Alligator mississippiensis: one gene and its partner. The protein of the gene in region 2 purifies or fractionates together with the protein of the main gene of each other region. This does not show direct contact. Links are inferred from orthologs where the notes say so. Each region holds a gene or a part of one and is shown on either strand. Other genes may lie near its edges.

Region 1 (10,284 bases), on a different chromosome or scaffold from region 2:
AAAAAAAAAAGTGTCCATTCTTGAACGTCATGCTTGGGACCGTGTAGGAAGGATGAATGCTACATCTGTTCCAGAAGAATGGTCTCATTTGTCAAGGGGTTTGAAGATCAAGTAGGTAAAACTCCATCTACAATTGCTCAAGAAGCATTTGTGCAATATTAGCACTTCCCTCCCTACATGCACAAAATACCAAACACAAACCCAGTAACAGTGTGAAGCAAAGTAACTGTGTTATTTTACTGAATGCCTTATGATTTCAGGGATGGAGCAAAGGCAGTTAGAGCAATTAAGCAGCATAAATACTAGGAAGATGGCTTCTGCTTCATGGCCAAGGGAGATTAGGTGTGCGCGCACGCACCCCCCCCCCCCCCCCCCCATCTTTTGGCCAAATAGATTATACACCTCTCCCTCATAAGGCACCCTATTCTTAGACTGGATCTAGCAGCTATTACTGCCCTCCTAGATTAAGGTTCCTTACCATTGCAAAGCTATCCTACTGTTTATTACTAATTGCAATACCACAACATCTAGGAGGTGTCCAGTCTATAATCCTCCAGAAGGAGAACAAGCCAACTGCTCAACCACTACAAGTGTGTTAAGTTGGCCACTTCAGAATTAAGGAGCTGCTGGTGTGGAGCAGAACAAAGAAAAGCAACAATCCCAGGAACAATAGTGTTTAAAGTAAAAATTGAGCTCTAAAGCTACAATCAAGTTCACTTGCATGTTCCCTTGCAGGAAGGAGTCTACCACCCTTAAAAAAGTGGCACCATATTCAGTAATTAAAACAGCATTCACATTATGTTCCCTGGGAAAAGGTCATCATCATCATCTGGTCAGTCATGCAAGATGAGCATGCATGTTGCTTCTGATGCAGGTTCATCCCCAATCAAGAATGGGCTAGTTCTAGACACTCAGTGCTCAGAGTTTATGTATGCTTAACCCCCGCCCCCCCAAAAAACAAAAACAAAACAAAGACAAAACAAGCTTGGGGCAAATTCATATTATGACAGACAACCTTAGATCCTCAAGAGTTCAAGCAGAGCTACATACAAGCATGATGCATTAGTCACTCTAGGTAGAGATTACCAAAATAGCCCTGTTTAATATGTATAGACAAGAAAATTACTTGTGTAGTATCCCAAATGGCTTGTACCAGCAACCTGTACTGCAGGTTTGCAGTTTGCTTCAGAACATGACCTAATGGGAAGCAACGTTCATGAAGCTTTATTGCTGGATGAGAGAGAGCGAATTCCCTATTTCAGATGAACTTTAAACCGACAGGTTTCTAATCATCCTCAAAAAAGCTTTCCTTATTGTCACTGAAGGTGTGCTTTATGAACAGTACTGTTGAAACAGCTTGCCTCATGCATGGAACTTCTCATTCTTGGCACTAGAAAGGATGGAGCAGTCTCACAGGAACACAGAGCAAACAGCAACAATGACATCACCAACGCAGATCCCCATCAAGAAGAAAATGCAGCAGCAAGTTGAATCCAGGAGCTGCATCTCCAAGATTGGTGCAAAAGATCAACAAGAGCATTTGAAGCAGGAATCTTGAGAAAGTAAATGCACCTTGTGACAGGGAGACATAACCCAGCTGCCTGTAATTTCAAGGAGACTGCTAACAGTCAGTGACCTTGTCTAATGTTTAGGAATCCTTAGGCAAGGTAGGGGCTAGCTTAACAGAGTCAGATAACTGCAGAACTAAGACACTCGTAACTATGCGCAGCCACAGTTAAATACTTTCCTGCAATTCCCAGAACCAACCAAATTTAAAGAGGAGAGGCGCGTCAAGGTCTTACATAATCAGAAGTCATTACAGAAGCAGGTTTTAGAAATAGAGAGACTCAGCTAGAAAAAGAATCCAACACTAACAGGCAATTGTTAGACAGCAATTGCTAAAGCCAGTGTCATGCTTGACTAGAACATGTTTGACCTGAACATGTGAACACTATAAAGCACTTGGATCCTTATGACTTTGCCTTCGAATAGGTAGGTTAGCACAAATTTTTCCAACATGTTTAACAAGGCAGAAGTACTGCTTTTAACCCAAGCTGTTCCATAAACTAGTGAGCAAGTCCCAACTACTTTGGGCATTCTGGCAGCCAGGCCAATTCAGCCATCTCATGCATTGTCATCCCCCCCCCAAATAAAAGTTCTAGCATCAGAAACTTAGACAAACACACTATTTGAACTTAACCCATTTCAGGCTGGGCAATAAAAAAAAAAACAAACAAAAAAACCCCAAAAAACAAAAAACCAAAACAGTACTTTTAAACAAGGACAGAAGAGGCATTATGCTACAAATCTCAGCCTTAAGAGTATCCTCTTTGTCACAGTTTCTTCAACTTCTGTTACCAATAATAAACACCCTTGTGACAGTTACAAGTCAAGCTTGGGTAGAAAAAGTCTACAGTAGAGACTGCAAGGCTACGAAGCAGATACTATATACTAGCATTAAAACAACTCTTCTAGACTTCAAATTCCCTCCTAGAAACTGCATTGATTTGAAGAGGCACACTAGTCTCAAACTATGCAAGAATTGCATTGGTTTAAGTTCACAATTTACTAGTGGATATCAAAATTCAACTCCAGCCATTATGCAACTCCACCTGTCCAGAGGACCAGCAGCTCCCTCCATCTTAACTGCATCATAACATCCTGCACTATTATCCCTTTAACTTGCATTCTAGACCTCTGCTGGGATGCATTAGGTCTGTATTTCTGCACCCATCCAGTCAGGGTTGCCCATGTCAGTCTGCAAATTGCTGGCTCACAGAAACATGAAACACATTCAGAGAAGAGAAATCCAATGTAAGTTCATTTGGAACTTACATTCCTGGAAAAAGATAACCCGATTGTCTATGAGGAAATCTGGCATATACAAACTTTGTCCATAACTTTGTCCTGACAGGAAACAGCCTACCCACATAAAAAGGTGCAGCCCTTGCAGTGCAAAAAACTTATATTAAAGTCTATTTCAAAGTACAGTAAAACTACACTTGTCTTTGGGACATTTGTTCATAGCAGTAAAGCAAGTAAGACTCAAGCTACAGCAGCCAGTTTGTCTTAAAACAGGATAACTTTTTTTTTTTGAGCCAACACAGTGCCCATGTTATACCACAGGCCAAAGCTAGCTCTGCCCCCAGCAACTATCCAGATGTAGTGCCATCTTGTACTGAAAAACCCACCTAAAAAGTCGATTTTGGATTTGGGCTGTTAGTATGTACGGGATAGCTACTACAGGTAAACTGCTATTGATACCAGAGCCATCACGGGTATCTGCAGTACTCTACCACACAGACCTCTCAAAAAATGTTGCCACTTGCTTGTGAAAATTCCTTGAAAGCCAGGCTTCACAAAACCCAGCGTTCTGCCTCAAGCTACTTTATAGCTACACAAAAGTTGTATCATGACAACAGCACTTAATCTAAATGGGGGCATGGGGGGCGGGGGGGGGGAAGAAGACTAACAACAACAAAAAGCCTGCAGTTCCTTAGTTTAACTTCTTAGCTCCTGAGAGTCTTCACCATTACTCTTCCCATCTGTTCAAGGGTGGCTGTTGGAAAAAAAAACAGGACTTGTGGTTCTTTCACAGCAGTTCTGCTTATTTCAGCAGTTTAACAGTATCTTGCACTTCTCTAGACTAGAGGCCTGTGATTGCTATCAGTTGAGAGAACCCACAAGAGAAGTGTTTGCCATTTCATCTCCAGCCTGGCGCTTGGTTCGTTTAGGAAGAACAACATTCAACCTAGGATACTTTCCTTGTTCACTCAATTCACCATACCTTGACAAAGTCTTATTAGTTCATGGATAGCAAGTCATGTGTGTTTGGTCAGCTGCTGAAGTCACAAGGGAAAAACAGCATGCTTCTTCCTGACTAAGAGGGTATGGCATACAACAGCTTCAATTACATAGCAATATCCAGCTGACCACCCTGACATTACCCCAGACCTATTTGTAACTAGGAGCAGTTGAGCAAACGCTACGGGCAGCCACACTTGCTCTGTAGAAGCCAGACTGGGCACTGGCTGACACCACTAACTGACAGCCAAGGAAACCAGTATTTCCAAGTCAGTCATATTAAACACAGAAAGCCAGAGCCAAGCAGTGGCACGCACACTCTTCAGCAGGGCTGCCTGGGGGGTGAGGCCCTTCTGCCCCAGGCAGGGGTCCAACAACACTGGGTTACAGCTTGTCAGGCACACACAGCTGCCAGCGAGAACAGCCAGTGCCGGCCACCAGACACCAGCAACCGCTCTGAGCTGCCCGTGCACTGCTACAATCCCACCTTGCCTGTTCAGCCCCAGCACCTCGCCCCCCCCCCCCGACACACAATATCCGCTCCTCCAGCTGGGCTGGGACGGGGCCGGAGCACAGGCGAGGCTAGATGAGGCGGAGCAGAAGCCGCGGGGGGACCCGCCCCCGCCCTACGGGCGGAGAGAGGGGGCTGCACCACCCCCGGCCACGGGCCCCGTGCAGGCCTAAGTTGCCCCTTGCGCAACAACCGTCCACCAAACCCGGGGGGGGTGCGCGGGGGGAGAGGGCGGGTCCTGCCGCACCGCCCCCGCGGGAGGAGACAAAGACCCCCCCAAACCGCCCCGCCCGGGGTCCCCCGGGGGCGCCGCCACCCTGAGGCCCGGGAGCGGAGGGAGGGAACAGCGACACTCACCGTCTGGTCGGGCCGCGGCACTGCGAGTGTGGCCGCCTCTGCGCTCCGCTCCGCTTTAATGGGCCCCGACAGCTCCGCTTTCACTTCCGCCTCCCCCTCCCCAGCTTCCGGTCACGGGACCCGCCCGGCGACGCGTAACGTCAGCGCGCAAGGGAGAGGCCGCGTCGGGACCGCATCACGTGACCCCCCGCCGGCCATCTTGGGCCCGAGCATGGGCCTGGTGGGTGGGGTTTGTGTGTCACGTGGGGCGGGACGGGGTATCGTAGCAATGCAGGTTTGTGCCCGTGTTGACGCTCGTAATCCGGATTAAAACTGTAACTCCCGTGGCCGCCTGCAGCTGGCTGCTGGGACCGGGGAAGGCTTGTCCAGACAGGCTGGGACAATGGTTCACACGCACATTTAGCCCTGACTGGCCCCGGGGCCACGTGTTAATTGATATCCCTCACAGGGACTTCAAGAGGGGCAGGGGGGTTGTCCCGCAGCAGGACCCCGCCCGAGTGGCCTTGTCCCAGGACAGTCAGCCTGGCCGCACCTGCTGGTGGGGACAGCCCTTCGTGTCCCTGGCGCAGGCCCCTGGACGCGCCGGCTGCGTGACCGGCAGGGACAGGAACAAATCCCGCGGCAGGAGGACTGGGAAAAGCACGCGTCTGGCGCTCTGCGAGGCCCCGCGTGCATCCTAATGTCATTAAGTGAAATCAGTCATAATCTGCTGCTTGCTTTATTTCTTGCTCTGCTTCCTCTCTGCTCAAGCCGAGCTTTGTGACCAATTGCCCCTGTATCGGGTTTTGCTGCTGCTCAGCTCCACGGCCTCTTCTGCGAGGGACCCTGGCTGCTAAAAAGCAGGGTCGCCACCGTCCAGGAGTCTCCAGGGTTTAGACGTAAATCTCCAGGAGACTGCTGAGGGGCACCGGAGGGATAAACGATAGGGCATTCATTAAAAGAAATATCAAATGTTGAATTTGATTTATACGGTAGTCCGGTGAGTTTTTAAAGCATAACAGCAACGTGCTTTTGCCTTCCTGATGTAAAGTCTAAGCGCCGTAACGTGTGACTGGTACACACAAGCATGTGGCACATTTGAATTGTGTGCTGGCATTTTGGTAACCTGGAATAGATTCAGAGTTGGCAACCTTCCTAAAAACCCTTGTGACTCTACGCACCTCTGCAGGCGTGCAGTCCCCCCCTTAAATCTCATGCTTTAGTCTATAATCCTCCTTCCCTCAGACATGCACAAGCAAATTAGAGCAGGGGGTAAAATGTGGGCCAAATGTGGAGCTCCCAACTGGTTGAGAAATTTGGCAGCAGGGGAGCAGTGGCCATTAATATGGTCCCTGCTGCCAAATTCTCTGACCCCCCCAGCCCATCACACAACACAGCCAGATCAGGGCTGGGACACGCTCCCTTCCCCTGCACGGCTGGATCAGGGCCAGGCTGGGCTGTCCCCACCACCCCGCTTTCCCTCTCCATGCAGCCACGGCTGTACTTGCCCTGGGCGTTGGATTGTGACCACCAGCCAGATCCAACCCGTGGACAGACCAGGCACTGCTCATCTGGCCCACTAGGGAAAAAGGCGGATCACCACTGAATTAGGATAAATCCTTGAACAGAACTTCTAGGACAAGATAGCTGTAAAATGTCAGTGTTGATTCACTTGCTTCTCATAACGTCTGGACCCTCCTCAGTTATAAAGGCTTATACGTATACGGTTGGATCCTGCAAATACGTGCTCAATTTTAAACTTTAGCATTCCCAAATCAGTGGGATTTCTTATATTTGAAGTTCAGTATGTGCATAAGTGGTTGCAGGATAAGGGTTGGGCCTTAGTGAAGAGGCCTTTTCTCTGGACTAGCCATTAAGCTATTTGATAAACCAATGATTATATAAATGTTAAAGATTTATTTGGGAAGAAATTAAAACGGTACCTACTACTTGACTACTAATGCTACTATTCTACATAGCTTGTAAAAAAATCAGTGACCCATCGCTATTTTATATTTGATTTATATTTTCCTAGCACCCAGGTACCCCAATCATAGACCAACAATTTGCCATTCTTGAGATTTCTAAGGAAAGAAACAGAAATAAACACAATTTCTTGCCAGTCTTCTAGCATAACAATCAATAAACAAAGATTGATTCAAAGCTGAACTAATTTTTATTCTACAAGGCTGGTTTGTAAGTGCTACATTGAGCATAGCAGTCTGGTAACAAGAGAGTTTGTTACGTAAAAGATTTGCTTATAAATTAAAAATGGTGAGCTGCAAAACGTGTCTAGGTGCACTTGTTAAGCAATGATTAATATAAGAACAAGCAGAAGAGCTGCAATGGGATTGTGTAAGCTCACTGACACCCATATGTGTAAGAAACAGTAACTGTCCTGTATATCCTGCCATGCATACTGGTAGAAGACTCATTGCATTATTCAGCGTGTACTTTCATATGTTATAGTATTTATCTTAATCACATGATCAGTTAGCTAACCTGTGGATCAGGGAAAGGAAAAACTAAAAGGACCCAGGCAAATTAAGTAAAAGATAATTTTAGCAAAGTTCTTTAGAGGCATGGTGAAAAAGTAAAACCCTATATATTATTTTTAATTCAGACTTGAATTCTTGTATCTGCAAGAGGTGAAAAAGCTTATGATTAAGAATAAAAGAATAAACTTAGGAATCAAGACACTGGTTTTTCTCTACCTATTGAGACCTGCTGATAGAAGAGCAGTGCAGTATTATGTTACAAATAAACTATTATCATCGTTATAATCTGTTGGGATTTGCAACCCTGTCAAAAAAAATATCCATCACAGAATCCACTGCATCTTGGCTGTATTGCTGCAAAGGGAACCAAATGAAAATGGCTTATGTGAGAGTCAGGTCTTCAGACCTGGTACAATATCATTGCAATCAATGAGAGATTTAATATCGCCTGCATGAGGTACTGAATGGGACACTTAGAGCAGAGGATTCAAAGTCAAGAGAGGTTATATCCCTGACTTACATGACACCGAATAAGCCATTTACCTATTCTATGCCTCAGCCTCCCCATCTGTAGGATGCTGCTCGTGATATGACCCTGCTTGCAATAGGGTTCTGATGTTTATTAATGGTTACTAAGCACACTGAGATCATTAAACGGGAAGGACAGGGTGGTAATTAGGGTAATGGACTATTGAACAGAAGAATAAAGACTTAGTGAAAAGGTCTAGGACAGAAATCACAAAGGAGAACCATATCTCTAGACATGGTGCTACCAAAATCCACCCCATGGAGCCTATTTTGCCATGGGTTTCAGGCGTGGAGTGACTATAGCAGTTGCTCTATTGGTGTATTCCCCTGAGAAAAGGCTGTAACATGTTGGATGAACTGCAAACACAGTGCCAGGCTATTTAGCATAATCCCAGAGGAAGACCTGTTTTGGGTTATTCAGGCCTGAGATCCTAAACTGCTCGTCTGCCCTGGGACAGAAGTCAAGTGACAACTGCCATGAATCTCTTTTCAGCCAGCGCTGACCGGACAGCTGTTGGGCTCCTCTGCCCACTTTGCTAAAGGTTTCTTTTTATTTTTTCCTGCATGGTACATAATGGAAAATCCTGCCTTCTCTTGTGGTGTACAGTGATTCTGGCAACAATGCCACTTGTTTATTTTCAGTGGGATATTTTTATTACATGGTGGTTAGAAAAAAACCTAGCACAAGGCTTGGATGTTGCTTTGTTTCTCTTTCTGCATAACTGACAGCTGTGCCATGCAAAAATGTTCTTATGGTGGCTTGCTAATCCTTGTAGGGAATGCTGCCTTTCATCAGATGAATGGGCTCCAATCCAGCTCCCATTGAAGTGAACAGGACGTTTGCCATATATAAGCACCACAACTGGTTGTGTACGTTGCAGTTAAATTCAAAGACACAGAAGTTAAAGAGGAAAGATGTTATGAAGACAGATGGAGGAATGGATCAAGGCATCCTGATAATTTTGTTTGGATCCTAACGACAGACACCAAAATCAACCAAAATACAAATAAGGCTCTGCTAAAACAAAAGCTCAGTTCATCAGAAACCCTTAGGAAGAGATTGGCCAGCACAAACTCTTTTCATAGCCTGGAAGGAAGTCAGTGTTTCCTGTCCAGTTCCTTGAGAATTAAAAACAAATCAAACCTTGAATATTGGATCTTTTTGAAACTGTATCTCAACTCTTTGCAGTTGTAATGGTGTAGGAATTGGTGGCCTGCCTATGACAGACATTCATACATGGTAATAGATTCAGGTCCTTTTGCTGGGTAGCCTGAAGTAGTCCTTTTTTGGGTTGTCTGACGTAAGACATCAAGACATTTTCTTATATGAATTCCTGCAAATCAGGAAGTAAAAATCTGCTCCACCATCGTCTTGTTCTCTGTGACGAACAGTCTCCATTAGCTAACCTGTCTACCAAGCTAAATACTTGGGACACTTTGGAGCACTTAGAACACCTCCTTCCATTGATTTCCTTTAAACCTCCAGTTGCCTTACAGCACAACTGTTTCTCACACCTTGGGACACATGCCCCCATGTGCAGCAAACTTCTGCAAGGTAGCTGACAGAAAGGCATGGGGAAGCAGAAGATGGGAAAGTGGAACTAAAAATGTGGGAAAGGAAGAAATAGAACAAATGAAGAACAGATCAACAGTATCAGTAAGGTTGTTGGAGCAGTTCCTGTGTGGTTGAAGTGACAAAGTGTCACTTTTTTATTATCCGTAATATGGAATCATAGGGGAAACAGCAGTTTAGCCAGCTGACACAGGAGTATGGGACTCAAAAATGTTAGTTTAATCCAGCTCTACACTAGACAATACAAACAAAGTAAACAGGAAACACATGGAAACGTTTCATGGAAGAACTGGCAGAGAGGCTGGTCTAATCTAACCCAAATGTAGTATTTCTAATAATAAACCTATCCTGATAGTATCACCAGCCCCAGTTTGTGGGGCTGAACCTTTAGGCAATGCTACTGGCTGCAAAATTCAAGAAGTCTTAAAGGTGTCTGTTTTTATAATGCAATTTTAAAAACTTTCTTGTTCCTTTTACAAGTGTCACCCAATTGTTGGCTTTTGTTTTATTTGTATAAGGTATTAATTTTACAACCTATGTTCATATAAACATGTTAACAGACAATGTTAAGACAGCCTGAAGCTACAGCTGAAAGGCTCTCCATAGTTATTTTTTTGGTCATAAAGTGGGAATCTGGTTTAACAGCCTGATTTTGCATCCTTGAAATCCATTGCAACTTCCTACAGAGTTCAATAGGAGCACTGTTGAGACCTAGTTCTGTAATGCAGTCTGAATGTTCAAAGTCCAGGGGTGTACTAAGATGTTGGCCTACAGTTAGTCCATGCCTGGACATAGACCACACATTTTATAGATAGGGTTTATTCTGATTATTTTCAGAGGCTATTGAGCCATCCCCTTTTAGGTAACAGTGGTTCCTTCAGATCCTTGTCTATCTCCTTGAGAACCTTCCTTGTAATTTGCCCTAACCTACTGTGAAGAAAGGAAGATGTGTGGGTTGCAGCACCAGCTGCAAGTACATTTATTTTTTTCTCTGTAGAAACCAGCCCTCCTTCTTCAAATCCTTACTAAAGTCT
Region 2 (10,845 bases):
GCTGTTTGCTACTTGCACTTTCTGCACTCCAGAACTGATAGAACGTAAGCAAACCAACTTTGTCATCCATATTATCCCAAGCTCTCAAATGGGCATTAACTAGAAATCCAAAATCTAAACTATTTCATTGTCCTGAATTTAAATATATCTTAACTTTGCTGCTAGCACTGTGAACATAAGGAATCTGGTATATATACACAACACAGGAGAAGACAGGAAAAAAGCCACAAGTGGAGTTGCAACAGAAACAGCCATAGGGTAAAGAAGAAAAGGCAGACACCTAAAAGATAATTCTCTGCTCCTACTCATGTTCTCATTCCATAATCTTGGAAGTTTATGACCAGTGAATCAGGTGAGCAAATCTGAACAGCAGACAGGAATTTCATTGGTCCTGCAAAGCAAATAAGTAGGAGCAGAAACCTGATCCAGAAACACTGGATTTCCTTTTTCATAGTATGTCCAAAAATATATTCAGTGCTATCCAGTAATTTACCAAGTCATAAGATGCATACCTGCTAAAATGAGCTAGGAAGCCGGATGACATATGGGCAAATGGGTGTGCTGCACAGAAGGCAGGAGAAGGACACGCTAGGACATTCCCTCCATCTCATTTACCTACATTTTACTTTTCCCAGCCCTTGAACATGACCCATTTTTAGTTACAGCCCATTTCTCTACTGTGATTTCCCTCCATACCTTACCTATCCATCACAGTAATTATTTAATGACCTTCAGCAAATCACTTCACCTTGGGATTTAGGTTTTCTGTAATTATATTTAACTCTTCTGAAAAGCATTTTGAAATACATTGTGCAAATGTTATATTAGAGCTAGGTATTATTACTTCTGCCACCTTCAATTTTTAACCAGCTAAAACCTTGTTCTTGTTAAAGTTCTCCTATCTATCAGAGACCCTATCCAGACTCAAGCATGCTCTCTACCCAACAGGCCCAATTCTAATATATGTCAAAAGTTACTGTTGTTGGAGTCAGAGGGATATAAAACCGATGGAAGAGATGAAAGTCAGACATGTTATCATCATGTCTCCTCTGATATCATTTGTCCACTAGATTCTTGCCCTGCAACGAGTGATCCATAAAAGTAGTTTCTCTAAGGCCCTGGCTACGTAAACTGGGGAAGAAGGGTGCAGAGTCAGCGCAGAACAGGTTGTGAAGGCAGCATAATATGGCAGCATGGGAATTTTCTAACTCAGTGTTCAAAAACCTTAGATGGACACAAGGAGGCTGAATATATTCTTTTGCAGACACAAAAATCTCCTAATACAGTGACGGAGGGGAAGCCCAAAATCAAGTTTCACAAAGACACCACCAAGAAAAAGAAATCATTTATAAATACTGAATCTCCCCAATAGCAATATTATTTTAAAATTTATACACCCACAAAAAAAATAAAGGGGAATGACTAGATATAGGAAATGGTGATATTTTCTGTGCATAACATTATTTTAAGATGTATAAACAAGCTGGAAAAACAGAGAAGGTTATTCCCTCATCTCTTTCGATTTTAGAGATAGAGCAATAATCTGCAAGAAAATAAGGTAAACATCACACTTATCTGAATTTTTTTTAGTAACCAATGTTTTTAAATTTACCCTTTTTGTTAGCACTTTAGACTCTCCTGCCAAAACATCTGTCACCTTAGTCCTCCAATTCCTTTCTTTTCATTACAGGCAGTCCTTGACTTGTAAGTGCAAAATGTTGCAACTCGAAATGTTGCAACATTTATAAACTGACACCCTGTTTCAACTTTCTAACGTCAGTTTCGACTTTACAACGCTTGATCTGATGTGATACCACACCAGTGAACAAGTTCGCTGCATCACTCATCTCCCTGGAGAACATCTGTCCAAACTTCCTTGGACACTTTCTTTAAGAAAGCAGACAAGACTCCAGAAAAACCTGCAGCCAAGACTCCTGAGAAGACTCCAGCCAAGAACCCTTCAAAAAGTCCAACCAAGAGCCCTTCAAAAAGTCCAGCAGTCACCTCAAAGAAGTCCTTCCAAATCAATATGATTGCTATTTACAATATAAATACATTAATGTAACTATGTCACTCATCTATAATTGATCGAGTACAAAATTCTGGGGTATTTTTGGTGAACATAGGGTATCAGGCCTTGGTTCAGGAACCAATCCCCCATTTATAACATTGTTTCTTATGAGAAAATTGGTTCCAAGTTACAACATTTCAACTTAAGACCCGGTTTCCAGAAACCAATTGTGGTAAGTCCAAGGACTGCCTGTACTAACAATTGCTAGGATTGAAGAGGGACTTTTAAACTAAAAGATCAGCATGGACTTCCTGAACTACTGATGTTAGCACTCAGGAAAGACTGAACCTCCTTTTCCAGCCTTTATAATTTACTTTTCATTAACAAGTTCAGTATTTGAACCTTGCTGCATATTGTTCTGCGCTGACATTCTGTTTAAACTAGCAGAACCTCCCTATGTATTGAATACGGCTTTCAGCCAGACTGAGTAGCCAAACACAAGGAGCTCAAACACTTTCCTGCCGTTTACAACAATGTTCTAAGTGCCCCAAGTTGACCCCCACTTTTGGCCCTTACTTCCCTTTACCACTCTCAAGTGGGGTGAAGGAACGGTTGGCTGGGATACACACTCTGTAAAGCCTTTCAAAAAAGTTTTTGCAACAACTGTAGGAAGTAGCCAAAGACAAATGCTCACCTAGTTCCAAATGAACCAAACCATCAAACTAGTAGCCACGTGGCACACTAGTTCTGTCACTACAGTGGAGGACACTACTGCTCCTATTAGCCACTTGCAAGAGTAGCGCATATAACACACCACTGCAAATCTATATCTCATTTTACAAACCAGGTTCAGCAGACAGAATATGCTAATTACCTGTTGTGTTGAACAATCCAAACACAAGCTGACAGAAGGGAAAAATACAGCATGAAAAGGCAGAACGAAGAGCAAAAATCTGGAGAAGACATGGCAGAAAGAAGAAACTATCCCACAAGCATGGATAGCATAACAAGATGGCATGAAGGTGAGGGCATGAGAAAAATGAAGGAAGCATCAAAGCCAAGTGATTGGGAATACAGAAAAGAGACAACAAAGGAAGTGACAACATTAGGAGTGTGGGATGATACAGGAGAACAGGTGGGGAGGAAAGAGGAGAGATCCGAGATGATGTTTTCTTTCTTTCTTTCTTTTTTGTTTTTTTAAATAACCCCACAAGAGCCTGGAAGAGTCCCCAGAGAGAACAACCAGCCCACAACAACTTCAATGTAAGAAGCACAGCAGAGCACTGCACCTTTTTGAAACAGGGATCTTTTCGCATCGCCTGCCTGTGCGGCAGGTCGATTTTGAGCAGTGCCTTCTTACAATTCTCATTTTCACTGGCTAGAAAGAAGCGCCACGACTCTGCACAACCTTTCAGCCTGGGCCAGTGATGTCGGCCTTGCTCGCTGTCCGTCTGAGCAGCACTTGCAAAGCTCTAAGTGTCCATCAGCTACGGCGTCTGTCGCCAGGGGAAGCAGCTTACAAAAGCCTGTGGTATCTCCACCAAGAGCTCTCAACCTGGCTGGACTCATGGCGCCCCCTTGGACCTGAGGCAGCCGCTGCCCACGTGCCAATCTGCACTAGGGGCTGTGACTGGAAAAATACCAGAGGCACTCTTCCACCAACAACACTGCGCACAGGGCACGGCAAGGCAGGGGGGCATGTGCAGAGCACATTCCCACATGATGTCAGTGGGTAGAGGTGGCACATGGCGGTCGTACGATGAATGGCCTTTTAACACCTCACCGGATTTCCTGGGCCAGGCCCGCCAAAGAAACTATAACCCCCTCTAACACAGGGGTCCACTAGAGATGTGTTACTGAATGCTTGGGACAAATAATAATAAAAACAGGGATGGGAGCAGAGGTCAAAGGCTAGAAACACAAGTGCCAAGAGGGGACACCAAGCAAAGCAGAAAGGACAGCGCCCGCCGACGCGGCGCCAACCCAGCGTGGAACCTCGAGGCCCCCTGGAGATGACCTCGAGGCTCCTGAGGATGCGGCCTCCTGGCTTAGCCCCACTGCCCTACCTCTACGCAGGCTTTTCCCCCTAATATTATCTTTTTCAAAATACTTTCATCCTGCTAGAAATGCCCCCATTCCCTCAGGCACAGGCGCTCCATGGGCAGCCCAACGCTCCCCCGCAAGGACCCCTTTGGACACCCGCTCCCCCGCGTAGACCCCCACTGGCAACGAAGCCAGGCCCCGCCCCCTCCATGTCACTCCCGCTACGCCCCCCCAACGTCCCCTCCCCCCCTCGGTGGGTTCCGTATGGCGGGGGGGTCTCGCGGCCCCCCCCCAGCAGTACCATTCGGACCGGGGGCAGGGGGATAGATCAGTCCGGGCTGCCGGGCTCTGCAACAGGCCGAGTGTGTCCCCCCTCGCTCACCGTCCGGGCGGCGGCCGGGCCCTGCAGCACGCGGGAGAGCGCGGCCAGCAGCATCTTGCGCATGGAGCGGGGAAGAGGCCGCAACGCCCAACGCCCGCCCGTGTCCTCGAGTCTCCTTCAGCGCCGGCCAGGCCCCGCGGCCACTACCTCCGCCGCACCACGTCCTCTCGTTGGGCCGACCGGAATCTAGCCCGGAGTGACAGCTCCGCGGCTGACAAAAGGGAGATTCGCTATAGAGTTGTGGCCGACCAGCAACGCTCCCCGAGTTCCACGTTCCTAAAGGAATTTGAACGAATCTGCCCGAGCGCTCGGCTCCTGGTTGCGCATGCGCACTGGGACTCCAGGGCTGACAGCCCAGGGGCCCTAGCAAGGCAGTGATGGGAGTGGAGGATCCCAGGGGAGCTCCTCCCCCCCCCCCCTTTGCAATTCCCAAAGTCATGTCATGGATAAACATTAATGTTCAGTTATTACAATAATTATTATGAGTTGTCAGTTAATACATTAGTTGTGGATTTTTTGTTAATAAATTATTATTATTTAAAAAAAAAATGTAGACCTGTTGAAAGTGCCTGCCTAGGTGGCTGCAGCCCCCAGGGCCAAGTGTAAAGTATCCATGGCTGGGGCATGCCTGGCCTGAGCCTTGCATTATTTGGCATTTGCCTCAAGTCGTGGTGCAGTGCAACCTTGTGAGAATCTGAGCTTTCCTTCCTTGATTTTATTTTCATGTGGACGCATAGCTCTCCATGTTGTAGAGAGCCAGGGGAATACACAGAGCTAGGGCCACCCAACCATCAAAAGAGCCAAAAAAAAAAGAAAAAATCATATTTGTCATCTCTTTAAAAAATCTGATTATTTTTGGACCGATTTCCTGATGTCAGGTGGTGAGAGAGGCCGATGCCTAATTTTTGAAGGCTTGGCCTTAGCTGTGTTGTATCTAACTGCTGCCTGGAATCGCAATTGCAAAAAAGTTAGGTAGTTGGCATGTAATTACCTGGGCTGGAGCTAATTATACATGTGGCCAAGACGCCAAGCTCAAAGCGAATTGTTGGTTACAATACGGTCATGAAGCTGACTGTCGATATGTTCCCTACTCAGTCAGAGTTGTATATTAAGTTTTAATCATTTGCAGCCTGTCTAGACAAGGGGATTTATGCTGACACGTCACTGCTTTCGTATAACTACTTTTGCTTTCGCTGGTATGAAGTAGTCATGTCTAAACCAACATCACTGTCACATGTGGGGAGAGGGAAGTTCATTCAAAGTGTATAGCATGCAGTGGGATTGGAAGTGGAAGATGGGGTTGGACATTAGACATCCCATGATTTTTTTTTTGCCAGGCCAGACTTTGACTCTTCAAGGTGCTGTTGCCATTTTCCAACTCCTAACTGATCGTTTTGGACAAGCCAGCCCTCCAAACTATGATGCTGGTAGTATGTAGGCATGCATACCAGTAGCATATACAGAGACTTATACAGATATATTTGACAAACTCATAAAAAAGCATTAGCTTTGCAAGCTAGCTGCCACACAAGCAACTGTGGCTTATGGAGAAGTAGCAGTTACAGGTGAGTTGTTTAGGCTCCGTGGGTTCGAAAATTGGGTTTACAGGAAAGGGATATGTCTTGGATTGCGATCGGCGATGGGGAGAGGCTAGAGGCGATTTGTTCTTTTGTTTCCCCTCCGGAGTAGTTAAAGCTCCGTGGGTTCGATCGTTAAGCCTCTATTGCCTGCTTGAGAAAAGCGTTGGGTCCGTAAGGATCCGCAGCGCTTAGAGATCTTCACACAGTGTGAAGTCTCCTCCTCCTGGTGTTCGTGGAGTCCTCCAACTTGGGCGGAAACCACTCAAGCCTTTTGTACGGCTAGCAAGCCAATAGCTAGCCGCCACGTGTGCCTACATTTAGAATCGGCCAATAATGTGGCGCGAATCGAAATGCAAATGGCGGGAACTCCTTTGCAACGTGCATCACTAGTATGCAAAAGAAATGCACCATGCAAAGAAGCTGCAAAACGGCGGGAAATCCCCCGTTGCACCGGAGTTCTCTCCAGCAGCAGAGAACTCCACCATGCAAAGAAAGCTACAATTTAGGCGGGAACAATAATTTAGCGGTGCTGAAGCACACACAAACAAAAACCACAACTTTGGGTTGTGACATTAAGGAGTCACAGTGGGGGATGCTACGGGAGCCCTTTTCTAGAATCATAAAACAAGGAGAGTGCTTTTTTAGAATCTCCCAGGTGTTTTGCTTGTAGCAAAACTGTAAATTAGAAAACCACACAATTTTTAAAATGACCACTGCTTCTCCACTGGAATTTGGGAAACCCTTGAACTCACCAGATGCTGACATTATAATCGGGAAGATGTTTCACTTTTAGAATCCTTGCTCTAGAATACCACTTCCCCCCTCCCCTTTCTGTGCTTTATTAATGACATCCCTCACACTATACAAAACACATAAAGATAACCACACATACACAGATAACTCCAAGGAGCTCAAAATATGAGAAATTATTAAGAAATACTGGGAATCTCAACAACGTGTTGATACAGAACATGCTGTATTAACTTATATTGTAGATGCTTTGGGAAAGAGATCTCTTATTTTTATTTGACTGAAAGTCAGGCTCAGTGACAGAATTATCAATAAAACATAAAATAGTTTAAAAATAATATTTAAAGCAAAAGAAAACCTTATTCTTTTCTACTGACTCCTAATTCCTACCAGGATTGTTATTAAGTGTCAAGTTTCATGCCTCTGGGCTTCTATTCAGTCTATTGCCTGTGCTATGAAATTTCACAAGCATTTATAAGCTTTTTCAGATTTACTTTATTAGTGAATGCTAAAAAGAAGTTACCCAGTTGAAGGAGTAGAAGGAAATATAGAGGCTCAGACAAGGGTGACTACATGTTATAGGCTGGGTTGGGGAAGGACACAACTAAGTTACATAGTAAGGATGTAGCCTGCTTAGCTCAGTGATGGGTTGAGATGGGGAATACGGGAGCTAAATGTGCAATGCTTACATAGTAAAGACTTGATCTTAGTGAAAAAAGGCAGAGAAGGAAGAAGAGAGAGTCTTACCTCAAATCCTTTTATTTTCTAACCAATTTTTGAAAAATCCAGGGAGATGCTTTACACACACACTTTATAGTATGTCTGTGTGCAAAAGATGTATTTGAAACCTTTCATCATTGTATGCTCTTCATTCAAGGATCCTCACTTTAGATATTCTTTTTTTTCCCACATCAGAGAAAACCATATTGGTGTGTAATCACCTATGCTCCATCAAGAGGAAAAGGCCCCTGCTTCATCCAAGTAATAGGAAGACTTCAAAGAAGAATACTTTCAGTATTTCAAAGATCTCTTCTGTTTCTTTCTTTTTAAGATATTGTAGAACTCAAGTTTCAGATTGATGTGTTATGAAAGAAAACTTGATAAAAGCTTTGCTGATAAAAGCTGACACTGTATCTCCAAAAAGCTGTGGCTCGAATGTGGCCGTACTTTTCGGAACCCTGACTTAGATATGGTCAGGTGCTGAGACTCTTTTTTTGTTGTTTGAGAAAGGAGAGAGTTTTAAAAACACTGAAAGTGATGTCTATCTAAGGATATGCTTCTCTGAAATGCTGCATGGCGGCAGAACAGTGCTGAGTAGATTCAACCCCCAGTAACTTCAATATCTATTCAATGTTACAGTAATTAGACTTTATATTTATTTTCTCTTAGCCAAGGATGAGGCTAAATATCAAGTTAGGAAAAAAATATCCAGCATATAATTACTTGTAAATTAAATACCGAGAGATGATACATATTGCATTTATTCCAGTATGTGTGAAGTCCTATTGAAGTTAACAAGTTCCTGTGCCTCCAAAGACTTACCAAGTTATGAGTTTCTGAAAAAACCCCACAGGTCACATGCTCAGCAAAAACATGTTCATGCTATTGCTTCTCACACCAGCTATGGACCGCATTGGTGCTGAGTGGCTACTGTGGTTACAGTGACTGACAGTGGACAAACTGTTCTTGCTGGGCTGTCAATAGGGAGTGAGTCTGGGATGTGGAATGAGTGTAGAGGAGATGAACTGGGATGAGAACAGATGGGATGAAGGTGGGCTGGAGGAGACAGAGAAATATAGGTCAAATGTAAAGGGGGCTGTAGCTTCTGTTACCATTCAAGTATATTCCTCTTAGAACCAGATGGTTCTGTAAATGCTTCTGTTGTCAGCCAAAATCTAGAACATCCATATGCAAAATTTGTGCCTCATCTCCCTCTAGTGGCTGGCAGGCACAAACAGAGGACAACAGTCTCTGGCTCAAGGGGCAGATGTTCCTGTTCCATCCCTGCAGAAGAGCCACATGGAATTTACCACTTCCTTCAGGAGTCTGTTCCAGTAATCACATTCAGTGTTAGAAACATGACTCATGTCTCATTTGAATTTGCCTGGCTCAGCTGCCAGCTATTTGTTCTTGTTGTTCCTTCTTCTGCAGTATTAAAGAGTTCCTTAGTGCCCAGTATTTTCTCCTCGTGAAGGCACTCATTGTTATCAAGTCACCTCTCTCCTTTTTGAGAAGCTAAGCAGATTGAATTCTTTAAATCTCTCACTATAAGGCATTTTCTAGAGCTCAAGAACATTTTATTGTTCTTCCTACACACATACACACCCACATGCACATGCACACATTTTTTCAAAATCCTTTTTTAGATATGAAATCCCAAACTGCTAGACCAACCTCCATTCAGTGATTTCCTTTTGCCATTTGGAGCACACACTGAGCAGGCTTACACATTGAACACCAAGGGGAAAAACTGGTAAATGGTCATATATTATTGGGGTTTTTTTCCCCTACAGGATCCCTACTTGATTCAGTACACTGGATGAACAGAGTTCAGAGAACATTCAGGTCTGTAGGTTATAATGCTGTTATTTGTAAAACAAATACCTTGTTTGTCTTGTTTGTTGCAGAAGTGGGATGTAGTAAATGAGGCAGGCCATTGTAGGAGGAAAGAGGAAGTTCTTATGGTCAGTGGTGCTCAACCTATGCCCCATGTGCCAGATGCGGCCCACAGAGCTGTCATCATGAGTGGTGGTTTTTAAATTTTTAAAATGACCACTGCTTCTCCACTGGAATTTGGGAAACCCTTGAACTCACCAGATGCTGACATTATCATTGGGAAGATGTTTCACTTTTAGAATCCTTGCTCTAGAATACTACTTCCCCCCTCCCCTTTCTGTGCTTTATTAATGACATCCCTCATACTATACAAAACCTATATTCTTCTGAATAGAAGCCCAAAGAGGCATGAAACTTAACATAACAATCCTGGTAGGAATTAGGAGTCAGTAGAAAAGAATAAGGGTTTCTTTTGCTTTAAATATTATTTTTAACCTATTTTATGTTTTATTGACAATTCTGTCACTGAGCCTGACTTTCAGTCAAATACAAATAAGAGATCTCTTTCCCAAAGCATTTATAAGCTTTTTCAGATTCACTTTATTAGTGTGAGTGGTGGTTGCTCCTCAAGGGAGCAATCCTCAATGCACAAACTAAGTCTATTCCATCTCGGAGGAAAGGCAGCAAGAGGGCACAGCAGCCCCCCCTGGCTCTCCAGGGACCTAGCAGACCTCCTGAGGCTAAAAAGAAAGGCCTACAAAGGATGGAGGATGGGAGTCGCCTCCAAGGAGGATTATTCTGCACTGGTCTATATAGGATTATTCTGCACTGGTCCGGTCCTGTAGGGAGCAGACCAGGAAAGCCAAGGCTGCAACTAAACTCCAACTAGCTTTGAGCATCAAGGACAATAAAAAGTCCTTTTTCAGATATGTGGGGAGCCGGAGGAAAAGCAGGGGCAACGTTGGACCCCTGCTGAACCAGATGGGGCAACTGACAACTGACCCAGGAAAAAGCCAACCTATTAAATAGGTACTTTGCGTCGGTCTTTCATCAGTCCCATGGGACGCCCATGCCCGCTACGGGACAGGGAAGTTTGGGTGAGGGTGATCCCCTGCCCTCCATTGATGCTGACTTTGTGAAGGAACATCTTGAGAAGCTGGATACCTTCAAGTCAGCTGGCCCTGACAATCTTCACCCCAGGGTACTCAAGGAGCTGGCGAGCATCATAGCCCAGCCTCTAGCATGGATCTTTGAAAACTTTTGGCGCTCTGATGTAGTGCCCGAAGACTGGAAGAAGGCCAATGTGGTGCCTATCTTCAAGAAAGGGAGGAAAGTGGATCCGGCTAACTATAGGCCCATTAGCCTGACTTCTATCCCGGGGAAGATCTTAGAAAAGTTTATTAAAGAGGCCATCCTTAATGGACTGGCCGATGCCAACATCTTAAGGGATAGCCAGCACGGGTTTGTTGTGGGTAGGTCTTGCTTGACCAATCTCATTTCCTTCTATGACCAGGTGACCTATC

Evidence for each region.
Region 1: the proteins of PDHA1 (region 2) and RAB7A fractionate together in Homo sapiens (co-fractionation; 3 studies listed by BioGRID, with this or other methods). This does not show direct contact. The link is inferred for Alligator mississippiensis from reciprocal best matches to the Homo sapiens genes PDHA1 and RAB7A.

The regions. Positions count from the first base shown.
Region 1 is NC_081835.1:19,831,309-19,841,592, reverse strand, and holds the start of RAB7A (ras-related protein Rab-7a), read right to left. Parts: upstream 4,779-10,284; 5' UTR 4,673-4,778; intron 1-4,672.
Region 2 is NC_081824.1:319,709,900-319,720,744, forward strand, and holds the start of PDHA1 (pyruvate dehydrogenase E1 component subunit alpha, somatic form, mitochondrial), read right to left. Parts: upstream 4,639-10,845; 5' UTR 4,500-4,638; coding exon 4,437-4,499; intron 4,374-4,436; exon of another isoform or gene 4,359-4,373; coding exon of another isoform or gene 4,356-4,358; intron 1-4,355. UniProt on the Homo sapiens protein: The pyruvate dehydrogenase complex catalyzes the overall conversion of pyruvate to acetyl-CoA and CO(2), and thereby links the glycolytic pathway to the tricarboxylic cycle.